2 linked regions of the Xenopus tropicalis genome follow. The protein of the gene in region 1 interacts with the protein of each later gene in a biochemical or structural test. Links are inferred from orthologs where the notes say so. Each region holds a gene or a part of one and is shown on either strand. Other genes may lie near its edges.

Evidence for each region.
Region 2: of the proteins of arih2 (region 1) and ckb, one has a biochemical effect on the other in vitro, tested with the Homo sapiens proteins (2 studies listed by BioGRID). The link is inferred for Xenopus tropicalis from reciprocal best matches to the Homo sapiens genes ARIH2 and CKB.

What each region holds. Positions count from the first base shown.
Region 1 is NC_030680.2:136,619,299-136,636,992, forward strand, and holds the start of arih2 (E3 ubiquitin-protein ligase ARIH2), read right to left. Parts: upstream 8,679-17,694; 5' UTR 8,635-8,678; intron 5,220-8,634; exon of another isoform or gene 5,143-5,219; intron 4,442-5,142; 5' UTR 4,319-4,441; coding exon 4,067-4,318; intron 1-4,066. Other genes in the region: rab GDP dissociation inhibitor beta, read right to left, coding at 11,141-11,284, 12,511-12,565, 14,873-15,017, 16,129-16,300.
Region 2 is NC_030684.2:98,355,487-98,371,627, forward strand, and holds ckb (creatine kinase B-type), read right to left. Parts: upstream 10,563-16,141; 5' UTR 10,455-10,562; intron 8,736-10,454; exon of another isoform or gene 8,724-8,735; coding exon of another isoform or gene 8,531-8,723; intron 8,283-8,530; 5' UTR 8,273-8,282; coding exon 8,095-8,272; intron 7,433-8,094; coding exon 7,278-7,432; intron 7,126-7,277; coding exon 6,993-7,125; intron 6,463-6,992; coding exon 6,291-6,462; intron 5,729-6,290; coding exon 5,605-5,728; intron 4,331-5,604; coding exon 4,141-4,330; intron 3,648-4,140; coding exon 3,469-3,647; 3' UTR 3,277-3,468; downstream 1-3,276. UniProt on the Homo sapiens protein: Reversibly catalyzes the transfer of phosphate between ATP and various phosphogens (e.g. creatine phosphate).

The sequences.
Region 1 (17,694 bases):
TGGCAAAGAGCAGCGTCAACATCCTCATATCCGCACCAGCTGATCAATAAAGGGATTATTATGGGACCAATGCAATGGAAAAACGTGTATTGGTTCTTGGAAGAGAAAAAAAATGGTATAGGGTTCAGAAACTTTCTAAGCACCTTTCCAGTATACATTTATTATTATATAAGTTTTCAATGGCTTTATATTTTTTTGTAAATTGAATTTTTACTGAATTAAGTATCTGTCTACCCCTTGGTATTCTCTGCACTGCTGGCTCTAACTACAGAAACATTGTAACAGCAACGTTGCATGCAGCTGTGAAAACAGAAACGAGGCTGGACTTATGCTACAATATTTCAAGAGTCAGAAACAACAGTGCAGAAAGGGAGAGACAAATACTGCTTCCAGTTGCAATAAAATCTTGGAACTACAGTGGTGTGAAAAACTATTTGCCCCCTTCCTGATTTCTTATTCTTTTGCATGTTTGTCACACTTAAATGTTTCTGCTCATCAAAAACCGTTAACTATTAGTCAAAGATAACATAATTGAACACAAAATGCAGCTTTTAAATGAAGGTTTACGTTATTAAGGGAGAAAAAAAACTCCAAATCTACATGGCCCTGTGTGAAAAAGTTATTGCCCCCCTTGTTAAAAAATAACTTAACTGTGGTTTATCAATTTCAATTTTCAATTTCAATATCAATTTCTGTAGTCACCCCCAGGCCTGATTACTGCCACACCTGTTTAAATTAAGAAATCACTTAAATAGGAGCTACCTGACACAGAGAAGTAGACCAAAAGCACCTCAAAAGCTAGACATCATGCCAAGATCCAAAGAAATTCAGGAACAAATGAGAACAAAAGTAATTGAGATCTATCAGTCTGGTAAAGGTTATAAAGCCATTTCTAAAGCTTTGGGACTCCAGCGAACCACAGTGAGAGCCATTATCCACAAATGGCAAAAACATGGAACAGTGGTGAACCTTCCCAGGAGTGGCCGGCCGAACAAAATTACCCCAAGAGCGCAGAGACAACTCATCCGAGAGGCCACAAAAGACCCCAGGACAACATCTGAAGAACTGCAGGCCTCACTTGCCTCAATTAAGGTCAGTGTTCACGACTCCACCATAAGAAAGAGACTGGGCAAAAACGGCCTGCATGGCAGATTTCCAAGGCGCAAACCACTTTTAAGCAAAAAGAACATTATGGCTCGTCTCAATTTTGCTAAAAAACATCTCAATGATTGCCAAGACTTTTGGGAAAATACCTTGTAGACCGACGAGACAAAAGTTGAACTTTTTGGAAGGTGCGTGTCCCGTTACATCTGGCGTAGAAGTAACACAGCATTTCAGAAAAAGAACATCATACCAACAGTAAAATATGGTGGTGGTAGTGTGATGGTCTGGGGTTGTTTTGCTGCTTCAGGACCAGGAAGGCTTGCTGTGATAGATGGAACCATGAATTCTACTGTCTACCAAAAAATCCTGAAGGAGAATGTCCGGCCATCTGTTCGTCAACTCAAGCTGAAGCGATCTTGGGTGCTGCAGCAGGACAATGACCCAAAACACACCAGCAAATCCACCTCTGAATGGCTGAAGAAAAACAAAATGAAGACTTTGGAGTGGCCTAGTCAAAGTCCTGACCTGAATCCTATTGAGATGTTGTGGCATGACCTTAAAAAGGCGGTTCATGCTAGAAAACCCTCAAATAAAGCTGAATTACAACAATTCTGCAAAGATGAGTGGGCCAAAATTCCTCCAGAGCGCTGTAAAAGACTCGTTGCAAGTTATCGCAAACGCTTGATTGCAGTTATTGCTGCTAAGGGTGGCCCAACCAGTTATTAGGTTCAGGGGGCAATTACTTTTTCACACAGGGCCATGTAGGTTTGGATTTTTTTTCTCCCTAAATAATAAAAACCCTCATTTAAAAACTGCATTTTGTGTTTACTTGTGTTATCTTTGACTAACAGTTAAATGTGTTTGATGATCAGAAACATTTTGTGTGACAAACATGCAAAAGAATAAGAAATCAGGAAGGGGGCAAATAGTTTTTCACACCACTGTACGTCTTCCTTTCAAGGAAAAAATTTAACCAAAGTTTATTTTTCTCCAATAGGATTATTCACAGCTATGTAGAACTATTATGTAAAAAAAAGTGATATAGGCTGACCAAGAGATTAGCCACAGGCTGCACAGCACAAACTTGCTGTAATGTCAGAAAAAACAAAAATTAGGCTTTTGGGTGCTTCTCTGCCAGCTGCAATGCACTAATGTGACAAATGGCTTGTGTGCCATCAGCCTTAACCACCCAAAGGATTATCATGTGACAGAATGGACGAGAAGGGAAGAAGGATGGGTATGGGCAAAGCGCCTGTTAACTATTACAGACTGATGTGTCCCAGTTTTGGCTATGCTTGGTGACTACGGAAGGGGGCTTTGTAGACATGCAGCAGAGCTGTGATTGTTGGATGCCTCAGTGAGGGCTGGGGAGGCAGATGCTGGTATCTCATTTTGCATAGTACAATATATTTGTTGCTGTATTCTGGTGCGTGTGTGTGTCTTTTGCTATTAGGGTTGTGCCTTTCTTGCTGTGGGATGTTAAAAAGGGATGCTCACCTTAAAATTAATAGGATGCAGGGCTAGATATTGAAAAACAAAAAACATTACATTGTGGTTTTGTGAATAATTACTTTTTTCTTTCCCTCAATTTTATAAGGTTACCTGCTTGCTAGGGTTCTACTTATCTGTTGCCTGGTTGCTAAGATAAGTAGAACCCTAGCAAGCAGGTAACGATGTCACTGACTAGCACCACAGTCATCATCAAGTCCAACAGCTTGCCGTGTGTGATGTGCCATGTCCTGCCTGGCAGTTATAAATTCTACTCATACCAAAGTAAAGTATCATATCCATTAACCAGCACGGCAGCCAAATGCACACAGCATTCATACAGTACATGCCAGTCACAGCGCAATGAGGCTATAAGCTAAAAGAATAATCACTTATCTCAACTGATAACAGTCCCAGACTCAGGAGAACACTCAGACAGCTCAGTTTCAAGAGCTATAAAGCCCAATAAAGTAAAAATGACTGGATAAGTATGAGTTAGAATCTGAATGACTAAGCAAAAGTGAGGCATCCTTACTGTACATGCGTCAGGTCTAAAGAGGCAAAGGGAATGCCTGGGAAGCTGGGGTAAGCCAGTGATGGTTTGTCTTACAGAAAACTACCCCAGGCCTGTGTAAAATTTAAAGGCGAATACTGGCTGGGGTTAGATGTAAGCGATTAGAGTCACAACGTTTGCTCAACAAATTGGTTTTCCTTGTCATTGAATGACAAAACTAAGAAATACAGGTAACCATTTTAACTTGCACTGGAACTAAACATGGCAACCCCAGTGTGGTTCATTGCCCTTTAAAGAGAAAGGATCCCTATTTCTACGGAAGGCTCCCATTTACCATTTACATTTGCTGCCTGTGTATGCCATGCTCTGCCCGCCCTACACAGTCTGTGTGCCATACTCAGCATGACTTATGCTGCCTTTGTGTGCCAAACTATGCCTGCACTATGCTGCCTGTGTGTGCCATAATCTGCCTGCCCTATGCTACCTGTGTGGACAGCACTGACTTAGGGTATAGGTGAAACTTTGCCTTTAATGCGGCTATACACACAACAATATAATCAGGTTATGAGGCTTTTTTAGCCTCTCTGCCTAACAAGCAAAGCAAATACTGGTCCCCCAAAAGGTCACAGTAACCCCACTGGATTTTAAATTAATCTCTCCAGCCGGAAAATCAATTCTGCTGCTGGAATAGCATTGAATTGCTTGTTCCCCCATTAGCCTGGATGTGTTGAAGAAAGGTGTGGCCTCTGTCATTTCCCTGGTCTGCAGATGCCCTGTCCATGTTTCAATGAAACCAAGCAATTCAGTGCTATTCAAACATCCATAATATCTGACTAATTGGCCTATAGTCTAGTTGACTGGATAACCCCGGCATGACTCTTTTACCCCAAAAAGGCATAATAAGCATGCACTGTTTTCTAAATGTATAATGAGGCAGTAATATGTCTGTGCACAGCTCACCTTTAACATGGAGGACAGATTTGCCATTTGTTCATTCAGTGCACTCTCTGATTCTCTGTAGGTGAGACAGGTAAACTGATACTCCTCTGGATCAAATGAGTCAGCCCCCTGTTGCTCGACATCGTTCGCAACCCCAACGTAATAATCCTCAATGTCTCCTGGATCATCATCTTCTTCCTCCTCCTCATCCTCACAGTTAGGGTCATAGTCCTCATTGCTGTCTGATCCTTGACTGTTCATGTCTACAGACATTTTACCATGGGGGGTTTAAAGCAGCCCAAAGGAATGGGGGATGGAAAGCAGCCAAATATGTGCTTTCTCCTTTACTGCAGGACACTTAGCTTTTGTCTTGTAGCCATCTGTGGCTTCAGCATCCTGGAACAAAATGGAAAGGAAAATTTAGGCAAACAAATGGTATTGTAAATTGTATTGAAGAATATTTCATAGGTTTTACTGAAATTAGCAGAGCAATATACCCTTGTTCCCCATGAGTTCACTATATAGGGCTTGTGTTGGACATGCATTCATACACCTTAGTTATTTCTTGCACTAAAAAGTACAGAAAAAAAACATTTCCTTGGTTTTTTCACAGCACACCTGGGAAATTTGTAATAAATTAAATTATTTTTATCTGGTAAAACCCTTATAAATGAACTCCTCCTTATCTGTCCACCAGAGAAAAAGGCAGCATCCATGGGAAATTAAAACAGCGATTCACTGGGAGTCATCCCATGCCTGTGTGGGTTTTCACCAGTTACTCCAGTTTCCTCCCATATTACAAAAGCATGCAGACAGGTTAATTTGGTAAAACTGGCCCTAGTGCGCATGAATGTGACAAGCACATTAGATTGTAAGCTCCAGTTGGACAGGGGCTGAAGAATATGTTGACGAATATAGTGTCCGACACTGTATAAAGAATAAAAACAATAAATATGTTTTTCAGAATTAAAAAACACTTGAATTCAAATTGAAAAATAAAAAGTAGCCAACAGATTTAAAAAGAATCAATCAATTGCAATCACTGGGGAGTGGCATCCCCCCCCCCCCCCCCCCCAGTGATAAAACCTTCCCTTTACCTTTAATCATACATTATACATCCAATTGGCCCAACGAATCAGTCCAACCCAATATTCTTTCATTGAGAAGGGTCACCCTGGAGGACAAGATATGCACATTATGCCCATGCACATGATATATAATTAGAATTAACATGTATTTATAATGCCCCAACATAGGGCACACAAAGAAAATAAAGCGAGTTAAATCTTAGAGCTACATCTTTGCCATAATGAATCATTTATAGCTTTCTTTGTACAAATACAAGAGGCTTTGATCCAAACAAGGCTGTGCGGCCTGAAAGAACAACACAAATCCTCTGTGCGCAATAAGCTGTGGCAGCTGGAAAAATATTTATCTCTGACTCCCTTCTGGCCCACTCACTGCTATCCTGTCCTGTCCAGGTCTGCTATTTTGGAAGAACAAGCATAGCACACAGCATTCTGGGAGCTGTAGTTCTCTTGTGGCTGCAAAATTTTGAGAACCAGAAGAACAAGCCAGTGGGAATATCTGTAGCAAGCTTATATAGTTCCATGCAGTTCTTTAATGTTAAGTGCATGGTTTTCTCCTTATGCACCCATTGCACCAAAATCTGTGTAACAAGATTTATGTGCCCTTTAATTACTTTACTACAACTCCCAGGAGAGATATTTTACTCAACAAGAGCAGAAAAGCAGCAGGTCCTTACAGTGAACATTTCTACACAGAAAGTGTATCAAATAGTATCAAAGAAGGGATCATTTCCAAAGGGAACTTCTGCATCCGATGGTTCTTGTTGGCTCTCTACAAGTGCCCAATGGCAAAGCACCATCACAAATATATTGGACTTCTACTCTTGGGCTCGACAACCATCTCACATACCAATAGGGGGGTTGGCATAACATATCCCTGCAAAAAACTCCCTCCCAGCTACAGATGCAACCCTGGTCCAGCTTCTTCAACATCACTCCAATTGGTCTAAATAAAATTATTATTAGCATTCCTATTCTATCTACTTCCGACCTGTGACTAAAAAATGCTGTCTGTTTGTCAGGGCCACTGACCCCAGCAACAACACCAAAAAAATGACTTTGAGTTTAGACAAAGTATTATTTTATTTTATTTTTCCTTGCTTACCACACCTTTTCTATTCATATTGCACTAAGGTTATAAAGTCCTGGCAAAAAGACAGCAGTTTTATAGTCCAAGCCCAGGTGCTACAAAACAAGATGAATAAATAATTCAAAACAACCAAATGCAGGCTGATTGCAAGGTTTAAGAATACCAGTGTCAGTACCCTGCTAAAATGTCACTTTAAGGTAAACTGCTCCTTCAGCCAGTGTGAAAAGAGTGACTATGTTGCAGGGGGTGGGATAGACAGAATACACGATTCCCCAAAGTAACACAACACCATTCTTTCAGAGTAACAAGAAACACTAGTATATCTCTAACAAACAATACATGGCACACTCTGTCCCAGGCTGACCCCTTGCATCCCTATCCCTTAAACTCCACTGTTTGTGCTAATGCTAGCACTCTTTCCTCACAGACCTGTCTACTCTAACCCACCATTGCTGGAAAATACTGTATACCTGTGTAGATGGGGACCAACACAAACTTTAATTTTTTGATTTGTCCCCCACAGGCCACCTCTTTCTCCCTGCCCTGCCACCCTCTGATTTTTTCTTAGCTCACAAAGTCTCTTATTTACTTATCCTGACTATATTACCATGTTGATAAAGGGGCCCAAACACACACCTATATTCATGGCTGTGTTAGTTTAACCGTACCATACCAAATGAAAACAACGTTTTGGGGGGTACACAACTCCCTGCGCCAGGTGACATTGTGACTGACGTGGCCCTACGTCAGGGAGTCGCACCACCACAATGTAAAGCTATTTTCATACACAGGGAGAGCACCCAATTCCAAAATGTTGTTGCAGCTTATATTTCCATATTACCAGGTGGTTTAAGCACTGATTGTCTATAGGTCCCACAATCCCATGCCATTTCCAGCCCTCACATACTGCATCCATGATGGTTCTCCCTTGTACCTGCTGCAGCCACATCTCAAGCAAGTGTTCCCATCTCACCTCAGTTACCATTGGCAGGTTCCGTATAAATTTCTGCCCTGATACCCCGGTATTACTTACCATCATCAGCCATCATCAGCCAATCGGCATGCTATCACTAACTGTCAGCCCTGTGTGTCAGCAACATACTCCGCAGTGTCACACTACATCTTTTGCTGCCCATATTGACCTTACCAACCCAGGTACCATAGTAACTGCTTCCTTCTTACCCAAAACAGGGTGCAGTGAGGCAGAAACCATCCCACTTTCTATGCCATCCTGGTAACATGTCCCATACACATGGCATCCTGGTAACATGTCCCATACACATGGCATCCTGGTAACATGTCCCACACACATGGCATCCTGGTAACATGTCCCACACACATGGCATCCTGGTAACATGTCCCACACACATGGCATCCTGGTAACATGTCCCACACACATGGCATCCTGGTAACATGTCCCACACACATGGCATCCTGGTAACATGTCCCACACACATGGCATCCGGGTAACATGTCCCACACACATGGCATCCGGGTAACATGTCCCACACACATGGCATCCGGGTAACATGTCCCACACACATGGCATCCTGGTAACATGTCCCACACACATGGCATCCGGGTAACATGTCCAACACACATGGCATCCTGGTAACATGTCCCACACACATGGCATCCTGGTAACATGTCCAACACACATGGCATCCTGGTAACATGTCCCACACACATGGCATCCTGGTAACATGTCCCACACACATGGCATCCTGGTAACATGTCCCACACACATAGCATCCTGGTAACATGTCCCACACACATGGCATCCTGGTAACATGTCCCACACACATGGCATCCTGGTAACATGTCCCATACACATGGCATCCTGGTAACATGCCCCATACACATGGCATCCTGGTAACATGCCCCATACACATGGCATCCTGGTAACATGTCCCATACACATGGCATCCTGGTAACATGCCCCATACACATGCCACTCTGTGTAGCCCCTAGGAAACTTCACTAACTGCCATTTGCTTTGCAATTCCAAGCCCTCTGGCCCCCGCTAACAGTGAATTCAGTAATCCCCGGTGCCCTGTCACTCCAGTACAAATGTATAGACAGGCTCCTGTCAGCTCAGTAACACATCACTGATGGCCATTTGCCCTACTGCAGCTTCACGTACAGACTCCGCCATCCCAGCAGCACGGAGGGCCGCCATCAAGGCGGGGGGGAGGGACAGTGGTCCCGGGCGGGGTGGGCTTTTGGGGTTTAAGGGGGGGCCCGGCTGTGCTGCACTTATTGAATTACCGGGCCCCTTGCTGTCAGTGAGCTGCATACCCGGAGAGGGCGCTTGCTAGGGTGCCTGCATGTTGTCTCCCCTACACCGCTTTCATACTGCCCCCCAGTCCCGCATTCCCTCACACCGCCCGCAGTCCCGCATCGCTACTTACACCTCCCGCAAAACTGTAAGTGCAGCCTCCTGCCTCACACAGACTCCTAACGCCTCAAGTCTCATCACGCGAGACTGGCGTCACCACTACACGTACGCGCTGTGACGCATCACGCAGCCGCCTTGTGGGAGGGGCGAGTTGGCGTAACTCTGCGTTACATTGTCGAAAGCTGCTGGCGAGTCGCAATAGCGCTACTGCCTCATGATAATTTGTCTTTCATCGACTCGCACCTCCTATTGCTGTCAGAATAAAAAACAACTTTTCTTCCGTGTTGGTTGCCCACCATACCCTCTGCCAGTTAGCTCTCAGTTTTTTAGAACTAATTTCTATTTTCTCAGCTCACACCTGCACCTCTGAGTTGCAATATGGCTTATACTTATTGAGGAGTGAAGCTGCCAGTTCCTTCAGATCCTCAGTTTCTTTGCATAAATGTAGAGCTCAGGTCTAGTAGGCAGTCACTCTTTAACCACACAAACCACAGGAAATTAATAGATCAAGATTTCTGATTAGGCCAGATCTGAACTAAGTCACAACTCCAGATCACTGACCACATGCACCACTATCTAAACCACATGAAAAGAATTGAAAGAGTTGCAATGACCAGGAATGCTACCTCATCTTGCCCTGTAATAAAAAAAACAGGACAATATGTATAGCCACATTTTTTAAAGGGCAAGTAAGACGATGCATAGAATTATTTATTTTTTGCAGTGCGCCAGGAAACTTTGCACCCCGTAGAACTCATACACAGAGCACTTGTACCTTGTTTTTGTACATTGCTCCAACATTGATAAGTGAGCCTCAGGTCTTCAAACTAGGGGCTGATTAAAGCTGCCATCTCAAACCCCTCCAGACCAAATTGGCAGCTTATTGGCTCATGTATGGCTCCCGCCAATCAGCCTGCCTGACCTATCGAGTAGGCTTGAAAATCCAGTTAGACAAGGACCTTCTAGGTATAGGCATGTCCTCTGACACTGGATCTCATGCCTAATCTCCCACTTGATCTTATAGGCTACCCACCACAAGGTTGGCCAAATTGGGTAAATATCAGCTCATTTGATGACTGCCAAATAAGTGAATTTATCTCAGTATGACCAGCTAAAGATCTGGAGAAATGAGTAGCGATATTGTTAACATTTCGAGGTGCATTTTGAGCTGATGGTGCTGGATAAACCTTTTCGTATTGTAAATAACACTGAGCTGTGGTTTAGCAACAGGTGCAGTAAAAGGGACATTTGGAAAAGGCGTGTCTATATTTTAACAGAATATAAAAACCCAGGATCACTCTAAACTTTATTTAAGCAGAAAGCGAAGTGCCTTTTGAATAGCAAGCACTGTACATTGGGTGCACTAGCTCTGTGTGTACACTCTTTTAAGACAAGGGGTTCTAGAATCCAAGTCCTGAAGCCATGGATGCCATTAGACACAGAGACAAGGGGTTCTAGAATCCAACTCCTGAAGCCATGGATGCCATTAGACACAGAGACAAGGGGTTCTAGAATCCAACTTCTGAAGCCATGGATGCCGTTAGACACAGAGACAAGGCGTTCTAGAGTCCAAGTCCTGAAACCATGGATTCCATTAGACACAGACACAGTTAGAAGTTGCTCAATTACTGAATACACGGCACTGTCTTCAGTATGTCTTCATTTTATAGCCTACTTGTAAGTGACTCTTGGATTGCCTCCTACTTATATTCTACCTCACAATTATCTTCAGGTTAAGGTTCTTGGTTTGTCCCGACCTGTCTGATCCATTGCTTTCAGACCAGTTTTACATGTGTCCAATTAGCATGGCGTTACTTGCCACATCTTCCATTTTTCTTGTCACAAGATTTTCCAGAGATGGAGATGGCTAAATCATATTAACGGTGGGAGAAAAATATTTTTATTGGGAAAATCAATATTAGACTATAGCATGGTTCCAGGATGACTGTAAAAAGTTTGTAAAAAATATTCGTTTAGGAGGCAAATACGAGGAACAAAGAGTCAACTCGTCTTAGAAGCACTGGTTTAGATGTTGCAGTAGACTCTAGAGCAGGGGTCCCCAACCTTTTTTTTAACTGCTCTAGAGAAGCCAATGGTTCCCAAACTTTGGTGCTGCCTCTCTAAATGGGTCCAGAACAGTGGCTAACAAGGCTAAGCCTGAAGTCTTAGGGTGAGATTTGGTAGATACTTCAGTTTCAAGGTTAATTAGTGTAAGATTTAGGATACAGGCTTGTTTGCTGTCCTAGATATTCGTGGAATTATGGCAGAAAGGCTGATACAGCACTGTATATATATAACTTTACTATGAGCAAAGGGTGGTCCTGACCAAATGTTGGACATCAAAGGGATGCCTTAATCAAAAGTCCAAAATAGTCCAACATTAAACATAACTGAAACAATTAAGTTGCACAAGAGGAAATAGGCAGACGCCAGATACATAACATGACAGAATAAAGGCAATGTTAAAGAACATAAGCAAAGTCAAATTATTTTATATAAAAAAAAAAGAAGTAATAAAATCATTCTTGGAAATCTGAGTTGTCAGAACTCCACATGTCACTGAAGTCCAAGGTAGCACCTGTCATTCTTTTAAACATGTCCTTAATGTCATCACACGTTGTCTCAAAGTGCGTGGTGGCATCATATGATCTGGAGATAAAAATCTGCAGGAAAACAGCAGCCATAGTCAGTTACTGAGGGTTATCCCGATACCCTGGCTAGTTAGACTCTAATCCCCATAGTGAGTTGACCTTTCTTGCATCGCTTTGTTATTCAACCTCTGGTAAACTCGGTATAGCTAGAGGGTCGCTGACCCTGGTGCAAAATTTAATGCAGGTCCTACTTCTTATTGCCAACACCTCCACTTTCCCCAAGACTACTAGCTTCTCAATCTCCAGATACTGGTGAAAATCATCCAGCTATAAGAGAGATGCTAACAAGGTACACAGTTGTAACTTTAATCATAACGTTACTCAGCCATGGGGAGGGCTTTAGCAGGAAGTTTGCCCCACTGTGGCCTGTGACCAACACATTCTCTAATGCTGAGAGTTGTAAGTTATGTAACATTCAGACCACAAGTCAAGGCTGAATTTAAATGTTGTGCAGGGCCCTCTCACCCCTGCTCGAACCCTCCCCCCACACTGCTTGTACCCTCATCCCCCCACTGCTTCCCTCACCCATCCACCCAGCACTGCTGCTGCTGCCACCCACTCCAACATGATCACCTCCATTGGGAACTGGGTCCACAGGAGATTCAAATGGCTGTCAGAATTATATTATTATACATTATTATAATACACAAGTTGTAGTGAATCATGTGACAAAAATTACATCACTAAGTATTGTTTAAATATTTAATATAGTACCCCATATTGTAAAATATAAGGATATTCTAAGTCACAGAGGAGTTCCATGATGATATCAAAGCACAAGGCCAAAAGCTGAGTGTTTTTATAAGGGTTATAGAACTTCAAGGTCACTTCTGATTTTCTCATATTTACAACAGGGTACTTTATTATGATACACAAGTTTAAGTGAGTCATGTGATAGAAATTACATCACTAAGCATAGATTATAACTGATGACATCACTAAATACCATTTATATGGATATCATTTACATTTATATTCATGGCTCTGGTGTATTATAAGAATATATATTGAATAATGTTATAAATATAAGACATTTAAACTGTACACCTCTGGGAAAAAAAGCCATTTGGGGTTATTTACTTGTAATTTACTTGTTATTTATTTGTACATAATGCCTATTATCCCACACCCCTTACCTAAATCGCTGACACTGGTCAGTTTTGCTTTAAAACATTAGGGCTCTGAACCAACCTGAGCAACCAACCACTTTAGCTAAATGTCCAGCTCTGTGATCTCACCTGATTTTTTGTCCCGTCGTGCTTTGGAATAAATTGATCATTTATGGACACAAATCTGTAAAATATGAGTAAACTATTAGCAAATGCAATTATTAAGGCCTACAGACACAAAGCCAATCACATTGCTGGGATTTAAACATATAGTTGGTATTAACTACAACTCCCATGATCCTTAGTTTTCCAGTGCTTGGAGATCATTCAGCATGGAAAATGTGAATAGCATGCAAATGTGGAAGCTCTACTTTGGGCATGCTTATAAATTCATTTGAACTACTGAGACTTTTTAGTCCCAAAACATTAACTAGAGCATCTTTGGGCTAAAAAAAAAGCACTAGCAGGGTTCATATTCATAATGCCATGCTTCTGTGCAGCCCCAGACTGGGATTTCAAAATAGTCCCTGGCATTTCAAGTACACAGAGGCCCAAAGAGCCCCCCACCAGCCCAATAAATAGGTTACCAGTCTGGGCCTGGGTCCAGTGCTTGCTGAAGTTTGTACCTGCATGGAATTCCATCCGTAAATGATCCCTAAACGTCATTTCTGTAAAGTGGAGCACAGTGCCTTTGCGCCAATTCAAATTTGAAGTTGAATTGATTGAATTCGCCAAGTCAACTTTCAAAAAATGAATAGAATTGCCTCGAATTTGCCTGTCAAGCAGTGAAGTTACCATCAGGTACAAGGTACTGCCTTATCATTACTGCAAGACAAACATCTTGTATAATACAACATTCCATGGTTTGTGATAAAGCAGAAATATCATAATCAGCTGACGAGGGCATAAAAGAGCATATTAAGGGGGTGGTTTACCTTTAACTTAATTTTTAGTATGATGTAGAGCAGCGATCCCCAACCTTTTTAACTTATTAGCCACATACAGATATAAAAAGTGTTGGTGAGCCACGCGAGCATCAAAAAGTTCTTTGGGGGTGCCAAATAAGGGCTGTGATTGGCTATTTGGTAGCGCCATGTGGGCTGGCCTGCAGGAGGCTCTGCTTGGAGTAAAACTGTGTTTCTGTGCTTCCAAACCAACCCCTTGGATTTACAAGGGGCCTGCTTTAAATTTCTCAATAACTTTATCCCTGATCTGTCTGGTGTGTTCTTTGGACTTCATGGTGTTGTTGCTCCCAATATTCCCTTAGACAACCTCTGAGGCCGTCACAGAGCAGCTGTATTTGTACTGACATTAGATTACACACAGGTGCACTCTATTTAGTCATTAGCACTCATCAGGCAATGTCTATGGGCAACTGACTGCACTCAAACCAAAAGGGGCTGAATAATTACGCACACCCCACTTTGCAGTTATTTATTTGTAAAAAATGTTTGGAATCATCCATGATTTTCGTTCCACTTCTCACGTGTACACCACTTTGTATTGGTCTTTCACGTGGAATTCCAATAAAATTGATTCATGTTTGTGGCTGTAATGTGACAAAATGTGGAAAAGTTCAAGGGGGCCGAATACTTTTGCAAGCCACTCTATAGTAACATGCACTCCTTCCCCTGCATGCAATACTGTGGCGTTTAGCTCACAGAAATGTCTCGCCTGCCTTTAACAGCTCATTCCAGTACCAGGAATAGAGAGTCCCTCTGACGCCACTTCCTGCATTCCAGGGAAATTCTGCAGAACACGCTGCCCCCATTAGTGTTGCAAAACAAAACCGCCCTCGGAGAAGCATGAAATACATAGTTTCGCCAACGCAAGACACATTTAGCCATAAGAGGACTAAGCCCTTGTGTGGCCCAGGCTTAAAGTCACAGTACATTGTGTCCAAAAGATTGTGTAAATTGATATATAAGATACAATTACATTTTAAAACCCACCCTTCAGTCTTGCCTGTGTAGTTTTTTTTTATATATTTGCAGACCATAAAGGACCATTTTCATATTTGCAGAACATAAAGGACCATTTCCTTAATCTCTGGTTTTAAATCCAAGGCCAGAGCAAGGGGTAGACAGCAATTGCTCTGGCCTAGGGTGTAGTTATATATGGAGAAGGGGGGTGCAATTCTACAAAATATGTTTATTGTGGGGTGCACAGCAGCACCCCAATGCGAGTGGTTCATTATTAGACCAGCTCCTTGTCTCCCATAACCCTTACTGTGAGTGAGACAAGCAGCGGGCATACATATGAGCACATAATTATAGTTTTTTGTTTAGTCGTAGCCCAACCTTCCTGCACTACTAACAACTCTCATCTCTATTGCCCGCCCTACAAGTAGTTGTGGCCTTGTTTAGAAAACCAGGGACACATAAGCGTTGGGCTGGGAGTGGGGTGACTTCCCTCAGATTAATATCAGTATTCCAGGGGCAGTATCATTTTACCAGCAAATAAATGGCCATGGAGCACTGGCTCTGCTTACTTTTGATCAACAGGCTCCAGTAGCTCCAGGGCCGGCTGAATCTCTTTCTCTGGATCTTCCGTTTCCACCGTTGTGCTAATTATAGCCACGTATTTCCCATCTGATGCCACGCAGTGTGAGCAGGAGACCATGCAGACATAGATATCTGAGCAGAGGGAAAAGACATGACAAACTGAGTTTGCAGCCACAGCCACTGCTAAAAATACCCCTTGGCACCTGGTGGGGTAAAGGCTCAAACTTGCACTTGCTAGGGTGGGATGAGGGAGCTAAGCAGGGTACATATATATGGTAAAAGTTCAGATATATGGTTGCGCTGCTCTTTATTTTTCTAGCATGCTTTATGTACCACCAATATATAATTCTAAGAACCTTTCCGATGTACATGAATTTGATACATTTTGATGATTTTAAAGTGCACCTATCACCCTCCAATAATAGAGCTCTGGCGGGGCTACTTGCCCCCAAGCAAAGTGGAAGGAAATCATTTGATTGTGATAGATACCCTTTAACTGGTTCTGACAGAAGTAGATCCATCTTCAGCCTAGTTTTTGCTAAATTGGTTTAAGAGAACGAGTTTACGAACAGAAACGGGAATATAAACAGCCAGGCACAAAGGTGGCCTGCGGGTGGTGGCTAGAGGGTTTACGTGCCTTCATTTGGGTCAGCACCAAGAGGAGCTGATGAAATCTGGGCTTTTGTCTTTCCTCAACTACAGCCTTCATCCATTAATCGGCAAATTAAAGAAATGACCCATAATATTGTAAGGAATCGGCAGCTACAGGCGCCTACTGTCTGACATGCACATACCCCACTGCTGAGCTTCTCTGTACCCAACATCTGGTTTTCTGTTCAGCCTGACATGTGTGTATATTATACATATTATGCCCTGCCTAAATATTTATAGGATACAAATCTAAATAACTGTTGGAATCAGGATCCCAGTTACATCAGCACTTGTTGGATTAGAATATTGGGCTGCTTTTATTTTTTTATTCTATCAGAGTATAAAATACACTCCATCATACAACCTACACTGCTTAGCCTTGCTTCTCCTCTCATCACTTCATTCTCTGGAACTCTCCAGCCATCAGACTCTCCCCTTCCTTCCAAATGCTCTCTAAAGACCCACCACCAGTGACTGCAATGGCTACCCTGGAACTTTACTTATTATTATATAATATTTAACATAGTTTAGCAGCACATATAAAACAACAGGTTGATATAAGAGTATCACTTTATCATAATTATCATTATACCTGATTTGCGGTTAACCTGAGTCTGAGGAATGATGATTTGACACGAGGTGCATTCGTTGGTGTCTCTAATTGGGTGGCTGAGGATGCAAATGGCTCTTATCACGCGACCAGTCTTCTTAACTTGATCAGGGACATAACTGGGGTCACAGATCAGCTGCTTACAGTGAGCAATCTGGAAGACAGGGCATGACATTCACAGCAGCCATTCTTTTGATATCAATTGTGCAAGGGCTTACATTTTAGCAGCCCTCTGCACTCCAGCACTTGAGTCAAACCAGCACTTGAGCCGAACCCTTCATAACTAAAGGCCATATTGTATTTACACTAGGTAACTTAAAAAGCTTTATGCATTTACATTTTTCTGCAAAATGTTCCTCTGTTTAGGGGAATACTGTAAATGGCCAGAAGCATGTGGGCACACCTACCTGTCCAACATCCTATTCCCAGACCAAGGAGTTTAATATGAAGAAGGTTCTCCCTTTACTGCAATAACAGCCTCTACTTATCTAAGAAGGTTCCCACTAGATGCTGGAACCTTGTTGGGTTGGTGTTGTTTTCTCTAGAGAAATCGCACATGTGAAGGGACATGATTATTCTTTACAAGAAAAAAAAACACAGGGCATTTAGACAGACAGAGGGGGATCTTTTTTCCCATATTATTAGTATTATAAACATTTATTTATAAAGCACCAATATATTCTGCAGCGCTGTACAATAAGTGGGTTTAATATACTGGACATACAGAGCAACATACAACACAACCAATAACCGATACGAGATGTGAAGAGTGCCCTGTCTAAAAGAGCTTACAATCTACAAGGAGAAGGAGTTAAGACACAAGGTGTGGGAATGGGCAAGATGAGAATTAAGAAATGTGAGAGGTGTGGCGCAGGTTATTGCTTTTAGCAGCACACTGAGGTTATGATTAACCAAATGAGGGTAAGCTTCTCTAAATAAATGCATTTTTAAAGATATTTTGAAGGCAGAGAGATTGAGAGAAAGTCTGAAAGATTGTGGGAGCAAGTTTCAGAAAAGGGGGGCAGCCCTTGAAAAGTCTTGAATGCGAGCGTGTGAGGAGGGAATGAGAGAGGAGTTGAGGAGCAGGTCAGTAGAGGAGCGTAACAAGCGGGTTCCCCAGAGATGTAGGGTGGGGCAGAGTTATGGACTGCTTTGAATGTGAGAGTCATTAGTTTGAATTTTATCCTGGATGGTAGGGGAAGCCAGTGCAGGGATTGGCAGAGGGGCATGGCAGAGGAGGAGCGGTTGGAGAGGTGTATCTGCCTGGCAGCAGTATTCATTATGGACTGGAGAGGGGACAGTCTCTGAAGGGGAAGGCCAATTAGCAGAGAGTTACAGTAGTCCAGGTGAGATATGAGAGCTATCTCCCATAACCCTGTATTCCCTCACTTGCTAAAAAGCCATCCAACCCCTTCTTGAAGCTATCTAATGTATCAGCCAGTACGACTGATTCAGGGAGAGAATCCCACAACTTCACAGCTCTCGCTGTATAATAATATATTATCATTTTGAATGACAACCACATCCACTTCTGAAAATGCCCCAATC
Region 2 (16,141 bases), on another chromosome or scaffold:
ACCCCCAGGCCTGATTACTGCCACACCTGTTTCAATCAAGAAATCACTTAAATAGGAGCTACCTGACACAGAGAAGTAGACCAAAAGCACCTCAAAAGCTAGACATCATGCCAAGATCCAAAGAAATTCAGGAACAAATGAGAACAAAAGTAATTGAGATCTATCAGTCTGGTAAAGGTTATAAAGCCATTTCTAAAGCTTTGGGACTCCAGCGAACCACAGTGAGAGCCATTATCCACAAATGGCAAAAACATGGAACAGTGGTGAACCTTCCCAGGACTGGCCGGCCAACCAAAATTACCCCAAGAGCGCAGAGACAACTCATCCGAGAGGCCCCAAAAGACCCCAGGACAACATCTAAAGAACTGCAGGCCTCACTTGTCTCAATTAAGGTCAGTGTTCACGACTCCACCATAAGAAAGAGACTGGGCAAAAACGGCCTGCATGGCAGATTTCCAAGGCGCAAACCACTTTTAAGCAAAAAGAACATTATGGCTCGTCTCAATTTTGCTAAAAAACATCTCAATGATTGCCAAGACTTTTGAGAAAATACCTTGTGGACCGACGAGACAAAAGTTGAACTTTTTGGAAGGTGCGTGTCCCGTTACATCTGGCGTAAAAGTAACACAGCATTTCAGAAAAAGAACATCATACCAACAGTAAAATATGGTGGTGGTAGTGTGATGGTCTGGGGTTGTTTTGCTGCTTCAGGACCTGGAAGGCTTGCTGTGATAGATGGAACCATGAATTCTACTGTCTACCAAAAAATCCTGAAGGAGAATGTCCGGCCATCTGTTCGTCAACTCAAGCTGAAGCGATCTTGGGTGCTGCAGCAGGACAATGACCCAAAACACACCAGCAAATCCACCTCTGAATGGCTGAAGAAAAACAAAATGAAGACTTTGGAGTGGCCTAGTCAAAGTCCTGACCTGAATCCTATTGAGATGTTGTGGCATGACCTTAAAAAGGCGGTTCATGCTAGAAAACCCTCAAATAAAGCTTAATTACAACAATTCTGCAAAGATGAGTGGGCCAAAATTCCTCCAGAGCGCTGTAAAAGACTCGTTGCAAGTTATCGCAAACGCTTGATTGCAGTTATTGCTGCTAAGGGTGGCCCAACCAGTTATTAGGTTCAGGGGGCAATTACTTTTTCACACAGGGCCATGTAGGTTTGGATTTTTTTTCTCCCTAAATAATAAAAACCCTCATTTAAAAACTGCATTTTGTGTTTACTTGTGTTATCTTTGACTAATAGTTAAATGTGTTTGATGATCAGAAACATTTTGTGTGACAAACATGCAAAAGAATAAGAAATCAGGAAGGGGGCAAATAGTTTTTCACACCACTGTATATATATATATATCTGTACAACTTCTTTGCTGCTTTGCTCTGTGATTGTCTTTGTTAAACTGACCATAACTTTATTTATAATCATTAAGAACAATTCCAGCAGTTTCTCATTTTCTATCCTGTTCCCCACAAAGTTTTTAATAAATGGACAGTATGAAAGATATAACCCAGGGTACAGTAGTTGTCTCCATTCATTTTGGCCTATGACCTACTTCACTGTTGTCATGTAAAATATGATTCACAAGCCTATGTAATACCACATAGATGGCAACACAGGCTAGTCGTGCAGTCTATAAAAAACAGTATATTTCTATTGAGAGCTCGGAGCTGATAAAATTACATAGGATTTAATAGAGTAAATTAAGGTTTATGCAGACTAATATGTGCTTTTATAAGAAGGGCACTTTGGTAAAGGGCCCTGAGAAATATCATTCTCCTTAGAAAGTATGGAAATGTACTGTTCCAGTGTTATTTCTGTAATGCCTAGTGAAGGTAAAGACCTTGTATTTACAAAGGTCCTAAACACACACACACACATTGGTTGTAGAAAGTTAGAAACACAGTATCCTACTTTATACCTACCTGGATTGCATACTATTCGTTGCAACCTCTCTAGCACAGAGATTTTGTGATTCAATTTGAGATCATGGTATAGAGCCTAGAAAAGAAGCATCTAACAGTGCCACAAGATCTGGCATTCTTTGGTGCCAGGTTTCTTACCAAATCAATCGTCACTTAGCTAAGTTTTGAGTACTTTATGGCTATTTCCTAAAGAAGCATCTTAGTATACTTGAAATACATTGCCGAGGCACACATGCAATCCTCTATGTCAGTGCTGTCGAATGTCTGTAGTATCAAGGGCTGGAATTTTTTTGGCCTACTTGGTGGAGGGCCAATAATGGGAGCTAGTTTTGACCACTCCCCTTTTTAAATCACATCCACTTAAAACCACACCCATCTTATCACAAGAGCTTTTAAGACCATATGTTTGTGAAGATTCTCATTCATCCAGGTCATTTTAAGACCATACCAACATTAATCGTGATAGTGCAGCAAAAACCCAGCAGCGTATAGCACAGGCAGAGTATGGCGCACACAGGCAGGATAGGACAGGCAATACATACAGGGACACAATGCTGGCACGGCTCCTACAGTCGGTCTGATGTGTGAACAGGTGGAAAATGTGGGCACTTACAGTCTGAGCCAGAGTTGTGAACAATGCAGAGGGGCCAGTTAATCTCAGTACACACGTGTGTGCGCGCCTGTGGTGTAAAGAGGTTTTCACAGGGCTGGAGTGTGAGGGTTTAATGTAATATCCAGAACACAGCTTCCTCCTTTCACATCTCTCTCAGATTTGAAGGGGGCTGTGTAAAAGGTTTTCACAGGGCTGGAGTGTGAATATTTAGAGTAATAGCCAGAACACAGCTTCCTCCTTTCACATCTCTCTCAGACACACACACACACACACAGGTATATCTATCATGCTGTGTAAGAAGTGGAGTAAAACATTACCGGTGATGTTGCTCATAGCAGCCAATTACATGCTTTGCTTTTCCAACTGTTGAAATCTAATTGCTGATTTGTTGTCCTGGGCAACATCACCGTTAATGCTTCACTCCACTTTTTGCACAGCATAATAAATATACCCCTTAGACTGATATAACCTCACACATGTCAACTGTATTTGGGTACCATGCATTGAAATGTGAGTGGATTTCTTGCTTGTAGATTCCCACCTCTAACCTTTATTTTAGTTGGTTATTGTACCATAATGTGGCAGAATAAAATGTACACCATTTTCTTTATTTTGGCGTTTGGATGTTTGTTTAAAAGGCCATCTATTTGCTGACCCAATTTTATAATGCAGAAGAGAATTTACACATTACAGTTTCAGCCATATCCCCATTTAAGATGGAAAGCCAGACACCTTTGACAGGTCAACGCAAGACCATTGTTTATTTTCTATCTTTAGTAACATTGCAGCCATCAAAAGAAAGATAATTCTAAGAAACAGATGGAAGACATTTCTACAGTGTTACTAAGCAGGTTGGGTCCCCAGGGTCTTGGAGTGTAGCTATTTCATCCAATAAATTAGAAAGCATGGCCAATAAAGTGCAGTTATTTCTGTGCTGGAATGAGGTCATCGATGGACTCTCCTTTTTCCAGGCATTTTTCCATTTCAACAAGGAGTTTTACACCATCAACCACCATTTGGACCAGTTCAACCTCAGAGAAACCCAGACGATCAGCATTGGAGATATCAAACACCCCACCAACGGCTGCAGTGTCTACACCACCTGAGAGAGAAAAAAAAATCAAAGTTGAAAACTTTGTGCCAATGAAAGATGTAAAAAAACAGCAGCTGGTAGCAGGACAGAAAGTGTAACAAGAGTGCTGGTTTTTAAAAGTCATTAATACAGGCTACAATTTTTGCATATCATATGCATTCTCTAGGAATCTGTTACTATCAAAGAGTTCTGTACAAACCAATAGCTTCGTAAAATGTATTACTGGCAAATATTCCTAACAGAAAGTGTCATAAGGCATCCCTCCCTCAGCCAATTTTGTGCTATGTTTTTGCCCCTGGATAGCCAAGATGTGCTATCCAGGAGTAGCTTTAGCCTGATGGCAGGCAACATTAAGGTGCATTTGCTTCTGTTTCTATAGCTAGCAGCCTACATAAGGATGCTGGGAGTTTGGGTGCCTTGTCCTGAAGCACTGAAAATCTGCATGTGTAAAAAAGCTTTTATCAAGTCCAGCCAAACCCAAGTCTACTTGCACACAAGTTACCTGTTCCTCTCTTCTGTAGTCTAAGTCTCTTCAGGATTTCACCAAACTTCTCATTCTTGCTTAAGTTTGGCAACTTAATGTGAACACCAGCCCTCAGACCAGTACCGAGGTTGGATGGGCAGGTAAGAACATAACCAAGATGCTGGTTCCACATGAATGCAGATCCTTTGTTCTTGAAGATAGCTTCAATCTGAGGGAGGAGAATAAGTTAGATTTTAGGAGGAGACCAAAAAACCCTAAGAATTTAGAATTTATTACGTGTAATTGGGTCAAAAGGTAGAAGAATCATAGTAAAAAATGAATACTAAAACAGTGTTATTTGCTAAAGGATGGATTGGTAAGCACTTAAGACACCAGATTTTCTAACACGCACATTGTTATGTGAATGGTCTGCATCGCTAATGAAGCGAATGAATGGGCACATTATTCCAGATCGGATATGCAAATGCTTGCAGAAGAGACAGTGATATGAACATTTTCTGGGTCTATGTTTATACTGAAGTCACACTATATCACCAGATTTATCCGGTTAGCTATTCTAACAATGCTTATCCTTTCTTTAAACACTTACTATAGAGTTCAAAACTATCTCTGGAAGCAAACCCCCAAACATCTCACTCCAGTAACATTGCTGGTTTTCATGGATAACCACACAATGCACAAGCTATAGCTTTGTGTAGTGACAAGCAACAGTTTGGGTGATCATGTGTGCTTCAGCATCAGACACTAACAGATGAATCTGTTTATAATATGCTGCTTATCTGATTGTGTAATACTATAAAGTTTGGCAGAGGATGAAAGCAGACTTAAGGTGGCCATACTCTGGCCAACGACTTGTCCCTCCAGACTGAAATCATTAAACTGCTGAATTGATCTGGCAGGTTTCAAGATCCAATCAGTCCTCATCCTAAAGGCATCCATAGGCTCAACAAATGGATTAAAATAGCACAGAGTTAATCTCCTACAAGAATGCCAACATTGCAGCAAGTCAATTCCCTGCCTGCAGAAGACAGCTGTAGTAGGTATGTATGACAGGATAGCCCTTACACTATTCCCACAGAGGGTTGGGAGGACCAACCTCATATTAAACATGTAGTTCACCTACCACCCATTTCAGGTCATTTTTAAAACAGTGTCCTAGAAATTGCTATTAGTTTAAGATTAAGTTAAAAAAAACGTTCTGCTGGTAGCAAGCACTATGCTGCCTGCACCGGAAGAAAGCTCCTGATGTGGGTGGCCATGTTTGATCACAGGAATTTATTCATCTGCATGTTTTGTTGCAGCATGGTCATCTGCACTTGCTACCAGGTTTTTTTTGTTGCAGAAAATTAGTATTATTTTCCCCAACCGAAACACAGGCTCAATTAGCCCGCACCTCCTACACATGATAAATGCCCTTAATGGTTACACATACAGCTAATTGCACAGGCTGGGGATGGGGGATAAAGCAGAACTGCCTCTTACCTTTGTAAGGCCAGTGCAAAACCTCTGGAACACATCCTTCATGTTGCCACCCTTTTGCATTGAGATCACACGAAGATGGTCTTCCTCATTGATCCAGACAAGGAAGGTCTTGTTGTCGTTGTGCCTTGATTTAAGCAAATGTAGGTTTTATCTTTGAGGTGCTAGTATCATGGAAGTTATTCTATGAGAGCGAGTGGTAAAAATCAGATGGGTAAAGGCTGCCATAGCATTACATAGATGCTGACAGATGGGATTCATTTTCAGTGTACATATTACTTACTTCCTGGCTTGCTTTAGCGACTGCAAAAAATGCAATCTCTGCATTAAACAGCTGACACAAGTTATAGCTCAATGTGGACTTGAGGTGGTGTGTCATGGAGGTACTAATACTACTCTGCATATCAAACTTGGGATTCCAGTGAGCTATAGATTTGTTCTGCTACTCCCGGAACACTCCATAAAAATCATGAGAAGGTATTTCATTACTAGTCCTTAAGATTCAGATGTTCCTAATTGAGGAGCCTGACAGCAATACTAAATTACTGTGAAACACTAGTGCAGAGCAAGCAACGCATGCAAGCTATGGCTTTAAATCAGCATAAACAAAGCAAAACCGCCTGTTTTAGAGAGGCACTTACAATCTCAGGCATCTGTATATAAACCACAGTACAAATTAGAGGACATACCAGATTCCTCTGGCATCAGGCCAGTCACGGGCCATTCCAGAGGCCAAGAGGAGTGGAGAAACTGGCTTATCAAACAGGAAGTGGTCATCGATAAGCTGCTGCTGCTCCTGATCAGTCATGGTATTAAGAGCGTAGTATTTTCCTTTTAGGTCCCCATCCAAGCTAGCAAGTGCTGGAAACACAATAACATAAAATGGTGATTTTCCCCACAGATGAAAGGTAAAGGTTATAAATTACAAGTTTAAACAAAAGCACAATTTCTCTGCCTTCTAATAGCCTCAATACTGACTTTCATAATCCATATGATCTCAGATTAATAAGTGGTTGTACGCAAGCCAGAAATGGCATTGTGCTCCTTCTATCTTTGACCCATTTCCCATATAAGTGCAGCATATACCATTAGCCCTCAGGGACATAACCATATACAGACTGATTCATAATGAGCGAATGACTTCCTTAAAAGGTTCCAACAGTTAAGAATCTGCATGCATCATTAATGTGGTCAAACATGAACTGAGCCGGAGGGCTGGAGGTTGCACTTCCACATCTGTAGGGGTTACAGTAGAGCAACTAAAGGGCCACCTCCTGACCAATATTCCACCAAAAGGGGGTAATAGATGATCAGCATCCAATGACACTGCTGAAGAGACACAGACCAAAGTGCTCTGCAAAGTGATTACTACAAAAGTTGCATTTAGGTACCTTCAATTGACATCTTTTCAATTGCACGCCTTTCTCCACGGCTGCAGTGAGGTGGGAGGCTGAATCCACGAATACTCCTTCCAGTTCTGACCCGAGAGCTGAGTACATAGTTTGGGTCCAGATCATCACCTCCCTGGTTAAGAAACCATTTGGTAAGTGAGCTTTAGCATGCCAATAGCTTATTTAAAACCTCTGAATAAAGTATCCACTAAAACCCAAACATGCAACTCCTCCCTGCCTCTCCCCCACTCCCTCCCCAAATGAATATCACCCAACATATCATACCTTTAGGTTTTCTGAATTTATGTCAGTCTTGTGCTGATCTGTTGGCTTGTAGCCACCATGTCTGTCCTCAATGATAGGGTCAAAGAGCTCCTTAAAGACTTCATAAGATTCTTCATCCCCAGCGACACATCCCACTGTCATAATAAAGGGATGGCCTACACACAGTACAAGGACAGTCAGAACCAGGAGGTGCATGCATGGTTATTAGGCAAGTACTTACATTTCTCAAGTTTTTCCCCTCAGTGAGAATCTTTTAACAGTCACATGAAAAATTGCATGCAAGTTAGCAGGGCCCTCTTTATGTCCTGTTATTTGTATATAGCTTATGTATTGATGTATAACCCATTGTATAGCTCTGCAGCAGGTTATGCTTTATAACTATATAATACCTAAAAGGACATCTGCTTTTCACTACACTGGAAAGTAGACTTTTGCAGTTTGCTTGCAAAGAGTTGGCAATAGAGTCGGCAAGGAAAGTCTTCCCCCAGCTACTGCAGAGTCCCATGTATATGTAAGTGAACATCCCATCATGCCCTCACAACACTGCTCTGTAGGAGAGCAGCTTCCCTACTAAAGCAAATCACTTTATAAATGCACATAAGCATGCAGGTTACAAGATATTTGGAGCATGTAAGGGACCCTTTACTAGAGACATGCAGTGGAACACATTAATTTCAGTTGAGCATGTTAAATGCAAATCAACAAATCCACCACAACAGTTAGCGTTACTTTCTAAGCTTCAAACACTAGACCTGCAAACTTAGAGTCTAGGAAAATGCATTCTCTCAGTTTTGGTGCATTTTTTAAAATGTTTTACCAGGATTGTCAACCCCAGTCTGAATGACATCATCCAGGGTGAATCCACTGGAAGTCATCCTGCTCCTCAGTTTCTTGTACATATCCACAGTAAGCACCTTAGCCATGTGGTTGTTGTGTTTGCTCAGATCAGGGTATTCTTCCTCAAGGGACAACCTCTTAATAATTGGTTGCGCCATACTGATATTGCTAGAGTGAAGATAAATACTACACATATTAGAATCTGCTCCCCCTTGTCAAAAGAAGTGCTGTGGCAGTGAGAGACCATTAATCATAAAAAATTGTTACAATACAATAAAGAGCCTTCTATATTCTGCCTATCAGACCCATTGCCTTTGAAAAGACCAGGATAACCCCCTTCGGTGCAACAGCCAGAGCACTTCCAGTAATGAGGGAGAACAGATGGCAAAGTGGATGAAGAGCTTCCATCTTTTTACCTGGGTTGTCAACCCCAGTTTGAATGACATCATCCACGGTAAATCCACTAGGTGTCTGTTTATCCCTCAGTTTCGCGTAGAGATCCTTTGTCAGCACCTTGGCCATATGATTGTTGTGGGCAGACAAGTCTGGGAACTCCTCATCCACAGAGTTCTTCAGCTTCAAGGTGTTGTGAGAGTTACCGAAAGGCATGATTGCACTAGACTGGAAAAGGACGGGGTGGAAGAAACAGGTAAAGGCCTTTGCCCTAAACAGCAGTATATGACCTTCAGATCTACGACCTTAAGAAATCAGGCATTTGGTTTAAAAAAAAAAAAAAAAAAAATTTTTAATGCACAAAGCCCTGGAGCCTTCAGTCATATATATACACCCAACATGAGGCCTCTTTGCATTCTGTGAATTGTAACATAAAAGCTAAAGTATTTTTGGTATTTGCTGTAGAGCAAACAAGAGGGAAACTAGAAAAAAAACCTGTTTCTAGTATGTATTTGGTGCAGGGTTTGCACGCATAATCACACAGGTTCCGGGACTGGGCTACCATTGCAGCTAGCCACCATATCTTCAGTCTTGACCTCTAGGTTGTGCTCTACAAGAACATGCCACATAACAGCACAGTTTATATAAAATTCCCTTCTCAGCTACTAGCATCAGTAATAACTGTGGCATCAAAATGGTAATTTAAAACTACAGAACGGTGATGCCAAAACCAAGCATTTGAACAATGCAGCCTGACCAAACTGGCCATGAGCCCACTGGCTGCACCATTTGCTTCAGGGCAGCCACTAGGGGGCCCACTTGCACTTGGCCTTGAAGTCAATTAACCCTCTTCAAGTCTCCTTCAACTGACAAACCATGCAGGATCTATTACTATGTTCAATTCTAGATTCTATTTATGTTATTAAACCCTAATAAACTATGCAAATACATGTTATCCAATTTACATAAACAACAGCCTTCCTGAATTTGGAAATACAACTCCTACCCCCACCCCTTAAAAATGTAAACGAGGAGTTTGTATGTCTAATGTGCTGTATTTAGCAGTTCCCAAGATTTGATTCTTCCATTTGCACATATAACACACATTTCCTTTGGCTGATGAGTAATGAGCCCAGTGGGCCCCACATGCTTGCACACAGACCCAACAGCCTGCACCCACACAGACTGGGCAAGTCATGTAGGCAATATATTCTACAGGAGGCAATTTAAAAAGAATCTAGAAAAAGCAGAAAAAAGTGGGCTTCATGGTTTAAGCTAGTGGTGTGAGGAGCCCAAAGGTTGAATGAAAGCTCATTATCCACTGGAGAAAAAAAATGTGATAGTTCAGAGATGTCCAACAGCTCTTGCTGAAATACAACTCCCATCATCCTCAGCCAGCCAAAGAATTTGTAGTTACTAGATGAGGGGATATGCCCGAATTATACAATATAGCTTACCATTATATTGATATATATGCCCTTTGTGCTGCCCCCCGGGGCCAATGTGCTGCTGGGGTCCCAGTTCTAGCGGGCTAGTGTCCATGGATTAAGGGAATGACTATAGAATGAAGCTGCCATAAGGCAGAGCCAGTACATAGGATTGTGCCCAGCGAACACCGCAACGCCCTGCGGGCAACGTGGGACGTGACACTTCCCAAGGACACGCTCCTTGCGCCCCGCAATCTCTGCGCCACACTGACGCACAACTCACCATCTGCTCACATTATAACCCTCCCTCCCCCAGCCCGGTACCGACCCAGAACCACAGCGTTCCAAATGAGAAACGTCGATGCCATTGTGCAGATCCCATATCTGAGAATTGCACTGCACTGAGCGCTTTGTGGTTGGATAGTCCCGCAAGGATTGCCATACAAACTATTCTGTTTATCTGTAACACAGTTTCCCTCTAACCCCCATTGCCCCAAACACCACAACTGCAGCGGCTTACCTTAGTCTTGCTTAATTGGAAACCGCAAACTGGAGACCCTAACCTCTCCTCAGGACCAACACTTGCCCCAGACCTGAAGGGATGTGTGAGAGAAAAGATTCCCCTCGCCCTTATATAGTGAGCCCAGCCTGCCTCGCCATTGGCTGATATTTATATTCCATTCATTGGATTGGAGCATTGGCAAAGGGAAGAACCAGCGCAACCTCTGATCAATCAATAGGCATCCATTTTCCTAAAGCCTTGGCTACACTGAGTGGAGTACTGCGGATGGACACGCTGCCATAGGCTCCGTCTGTTCTCTGCAAATTAACGCGCTGCTACAGCCATTCCGTCAGTACAGGGGCCCCATAAGGGGCAAATCTCTGGCAGTGCAAAGCATTATAGCTGGATTCAGCAGCCATTCATGAATTGTATAGCCCATAACATATGTTATATGCAGTCAACTGTAATAGAAAAAGGGCCGAGATGACACGTTAGCTGCTGCAATTTATTTGCCTTTTCTCTTTCTAACAGAGAATTTAAATCGCTGAAATATTTAGAAGCGTTCGGTGTCTGCCCTGGTCTGTTTGTGCAATAAAATACTCCTCACAGGGCTGGGCTTCCCTTTCATTTAAAGGGGACTGTCATGCAAAACTAATAACGTTATTTGTTAAAGAAATGATATTTAAAGGACATGTTAACCCAAAGAACACTCAATTCTAAGCAACTTTGCAGTATACATTTATTGCAAATTTGTAATTGTTTTTGTTATTTGTATATATTATTGCTATTGAACGCAGTGTTAGTCTGTCCTTTTCTATTCCCTGCCCTTCTGACTTTTATAGCAATGTAATGCAAGACAAGAGGGCTGACAGACCTGCTTTGCTGGAGGAGACTGGCTTCTGCAACTTTGTTTAAAAAGTCATAACCAAGAGTTAAGCAAATGCTGCTTTCTACAGCAATTACATTTGCAAATAACTTTTAAAGCACTATAATTTTTTAAATAAATTCATATTGAAAAATTATGTTTTATTTTATTAGGAAAAAAATATTATTGTCTGGGTTGACCTGACCTTAAAGCTGTATCTTGCTGTTTATATTCTCTACTCTAGCAGCTCTGACTCCTGTAGCAATGTAACAGCTGCACTGTTTCAAGTGTCAGAACAAGAGAACAGAAAGGGATTGACAAATACTCCTTTCAATTGCATCTACTTTACAAGTAACTGTACAATAATTAAAAATGTTTAATGAATGTACATAGTACATATAGGTATAAGTCATCAAGTTCAACCTTTTTCATATAAATATAGATACTAGACAGGGGCAATTCAGCATCTAGTGCCAGCCTGAGATTGATTGATGCTGTCCCCCTTACTCCCCTGCACTTATCTTTTTTAGCACTAGAGTGGCTTGATGGGGCCACATTGCTAGCGTAAAGAGTGCATGTCTAGAAAATCCAGCTAGAAGGGCTGCACTGATTGCAATTAAATGCAACATGCATTTATTAGACATGTCACTGAAATTTAAAGGAGACATTTTGGATAAATGGTAAAAACCCTAATTTTGTAGGCAATTATGAATAATATATGGTGCTGGTGTTACTTTCAGCTAAAATTGAATACAGTCTGTAAAAATGGCACTTTATTGTAGCTCCCTATAGATCCTATCAGTTCTCGGTCCCTGTTTCAAATGAAGGGTGGGCGTGTCCTAACGGTCCCTGCCAGAAGCACAGTAGGAGGGGGAGAGCCAATCACAGCCTTTCACTCACACAAGCAAATACAGGCTTCAGTTCCCTATCAGGTCATAGCCTAGCTCAGGGCCGGATTTGTAATCCCGCCGCCCCAAGGCCCCCCCAGCGCATGCGCGAACGTGCGATTGGCAGCCCCCCCCCCAACGTGCATGCGTGGGGTGTAAACATTCGCATACGGAGCATTGGTCCCCACTGCTGTGATGGGTGAAAAAGCTTAAGATTGTGGTGCGGCATGCCGCCCCCAAATTAGTGCCGCCCAAGGCCCGGGCCTTTGTGGCCTCTCTGCAAATCCGGGCCTGGCCTAGCTGCTGATTGGTTCCTATCCTACAGTGCCATGTACTGAGAGCCGCCGGCTCCCCTGCACATCCAGAGAATTCAGCCTGCAGGTAGTGGAACAGATGGGTGGGACTAGTGGTGTTTTGGTGTATTTTCTGAATAAGTCAGTCCAAAACAAAACATTTTTTAAGCACAATCCTTCTATATTTAGAGGAGTATAATTCACTGCTACATTCTTAATGTTATCCTTTAAAGTGATCTGGTCGCCCTATTGTACCTTGCAGGGCGCTGACACCTGAAGCAAGTTTCTGAACTCACCTCATGGCAGCAGCGCCCCTGCTAATAAGTAAGTGAAACTTTTTCCTCAACAACCTGCTTACTATTGTTAGCTGAAAACCTATCCTCCCTTATTGCCTATATTTTTTCTCAAATGTATTTGTAAATAGTAATTGTGTGAGTCCCTCCATTTTCAGTAATGTCTTTGCTACAAATAGAACAGTTTCCATGAAACTTCATTGTATGGCCATTTGGTAAACAATCTTTGTTTATTGATAGATAGACCAACTGAACTGATGCCATTCAGTCACCCAGTTCAGTTAACATAGAATGTTTGAGACTGGTGACCTGTGCCACTTCCAGGGTCAGACTGGGGGGTGCAGGGCCCACCGGGGCTCCCGCCCCAGGGGCCCTGCAGATGCCCCAGCCAGCCGCATCCCCTAACCCCCCCAGGGGCCCCCCTAACCCCCCGCAGGGTCCCCCATCCAACGTCCTCCATGAGTCCGCATAAATGTAATGCGTATGAGGAGGAACAGTCGGGCAGGGGGAGCGCCGGCAAGGGTCGGGTCTGGGCCGCCGGAGCCAACTGGGGTTTTTCCCGGAGTCCCGGCGTCCCAGTCCGACCCTGGCCGCTTCCTCTAAGCCAACAAGTTCTTTTATGCACTGATACCTTGCGGTTGATTTATGAACATGGCTGCTAAATTACATCAGTGCAGTTACCCATAGCAACCAGTCAGATCTAACGTGTAGTTGCCTGTTCAAAGCTAATTGCTAAATTGGTTTTATTGGCAAACAATGTCAGATTGGCCCACCAGGATACCAGGAAAGCTCCCGGTGGGCCCAGGTGTAAGTGGGCTCCTAACTATTTGGCCTGTTTCTTGGTCATTTCCTATTTCTGAATGGGAAGAAAGAGGAGAAATAGATGGATGGATGCTAGCATGTAAATAAAAGAGATTAGGAGAATAAAGTGTTTGAGTGAGGAAAGATGGAAAAATAGTTTGGAGAGTGGGCCCATGGTCCAAGGTTTTCTTGTGGGCCCCTGGGGTCCCAGTCCGACACTGTTGGCAAATTCACTTGTGCAATTTGGTACCTATGTTATTAAACAAGCCCTATTTAATATTACATTGAAAATATATAGTTTTTATACAATTCCAAGACAGAATCATTAACACCCTAATGACATGGTGTTAGCAGACATCTCTTAAAGGACAAGGAAAGTCAAAATTTATTAAGCACACTTTTAAATAGTACTACTAACGCTATATTTCTGGCTTGCCTAATGAAATATATACAGAGATACACATACTACAACTACATACTTGTTTCAGTGAACGGCACCGCCATCTTGTCCAGCATGTCTGTTTGGGCTATTGCTGAAAAGCACAAGCCAATCTCCCCCCCCACCTCCGCTCTGATCCCCGCACCTGCTGGCTCAGAAACCCAGCATCTCCCCCCACCCCTCTGATCCCCGCACTTGCCGGCACACTCGCTGTGAATCCCACACCTGCCGGCTCACAAATACAGCATTCTTCCCCCTCTGATTCCCGCACTTGCCAGCACACTCGCCGCCATCCCCCGCCACCGCCTCCCCCTCTGATCCTTGCCGGCACACTCGCTGAGATTCCCTTGCCGGCTTACAAACACAGCATCCCCCCCCTCTGATCCGCGCACTTGCCGGGTTACAAACACAGCACCCCACCACCCCCCCTTTGACCTGCCGGCTCACAAACTGTTGGCACTCCAGAAGCCCCCCCTCTTCCACTCGGACAATATACTTTAATACTGTAAAATTGCTGACCTTCTCCTCCTCCTTGTGTCTGCCATGCTCTCCCTTCTGTCTCGCTTCTTTCTTCTCCTCCCGGCTGTCCTCATCTGCGTCGCCATAGCAACCAGACACTCCTGATGTGTGCGCATGTGCAAGCTACGGATCTGGTCCTATTGTCAGTGCAGGAGCGTTGCATTATGGGAATCTTCTCTACTCAGCTCAGCGTTTTTTTTTCCTGTTTGGCTTCTGATCTTCTGAACAGGTGAAATATGGGGAGACTTAAGGTATGCCTGCAGCTTGAGATTAACTCTTTTAAAGGAGAAGGAAAGTCATTTTGGCATTTTACTGCCAGTAGATTGGCCACATTAGTGCCACCTTTACTATACCTGAGTAAAGAGCCCTAGAAGCTCCCCCTGATAGCAGCTGCCATTTTAGTTTGGTCTTGGTAGCTTCTTGCTGCAGTTATAGCTGTTGGAAGCTCAGATCACTCATTCCTAAGGGTGGGGGAAGTGAGTTCTTATGCATTCTTATGGGAGGGGGGAGCAGGAGAAGGGAGAGGGTGAGAGAAGAGAACTGAGCAGACTCAAGCCCCAAACCTCCTAGAAGAGAGGAAGTCTGATACTTCCCCAAAAAGGAGACAAGAAATCCTGTGTTTCTTTTGATAGAGGATTTCTGTAAATGCTTATGGCTGTTTTTACATAAACCTTCCTGATAACGCTTACTTAGTTTTTACCTTTCCTTTTTCTTTAAACAGTCCAGTGGCACAAGTTAGAGCCACACAAAATTTAAATTATGTACAAAGCAATGTGTACACTAAGCATAATGACATGTCAGAGACTTTATCTATTCCCCCAGCTTTTTTAAGTGGGTTATATTTTATATATATTTTGTAGACAATAGTAAATCAATGCTGTCCTCTCTAAAAAATCACAATGATATTTATATGACTCAGCAAATCCAGTAAATAAAAAATAAAAAAAGAAATAGCTTAATGCCTTAGGACATATATGTCAAACACAAGGCCCGGGTGATAAAGGCTTTTATACATGTCATGGAACTTCAAAGTGATGCCTAATATCCTTGTATTTTACAACAGGAGATACATTATTTATTTATAATACACATGTTTCAGTAAGTCACGTGACACAAATTACATGACTAAGCACTGTTTATAAAGATATAATTTAAAGTATATTCATGGCACAAGTAAATACAAGCCAGTGAATCAGGTCTTTCCCCTAAGTCAGTGATCCTCAACCCATGGCTTGCGAGCAACATGTTGCTCACCAACCCTTTTGATGTTGCTCCATGTTGCCTCAAAATTATTTTTGAACTCCTGACTTAGAGGCAAGATTTGGAGGCATAAAACCCAGGTGTACTGCCAAACAGAACCTCCTATAGGCTGCCAGTTCACAAGGGTTCTACCAAATAACACAAAACTACCAAATATCACAGCCGTTATTTGGTACCAATGGGTACATTTGTTCATGCTTGTGTTGCTCCCCAACTCTTTTCCAGAAAGAATATATCCAGAAAGCTCCATATTATGGGCAGGCCATTTCAGAGTCTATTTTAACCAAATCATTTACATTTTTAAAAATCATTTAAACCCTTTTCTCTGTAATAATAAAACAGTAGCTT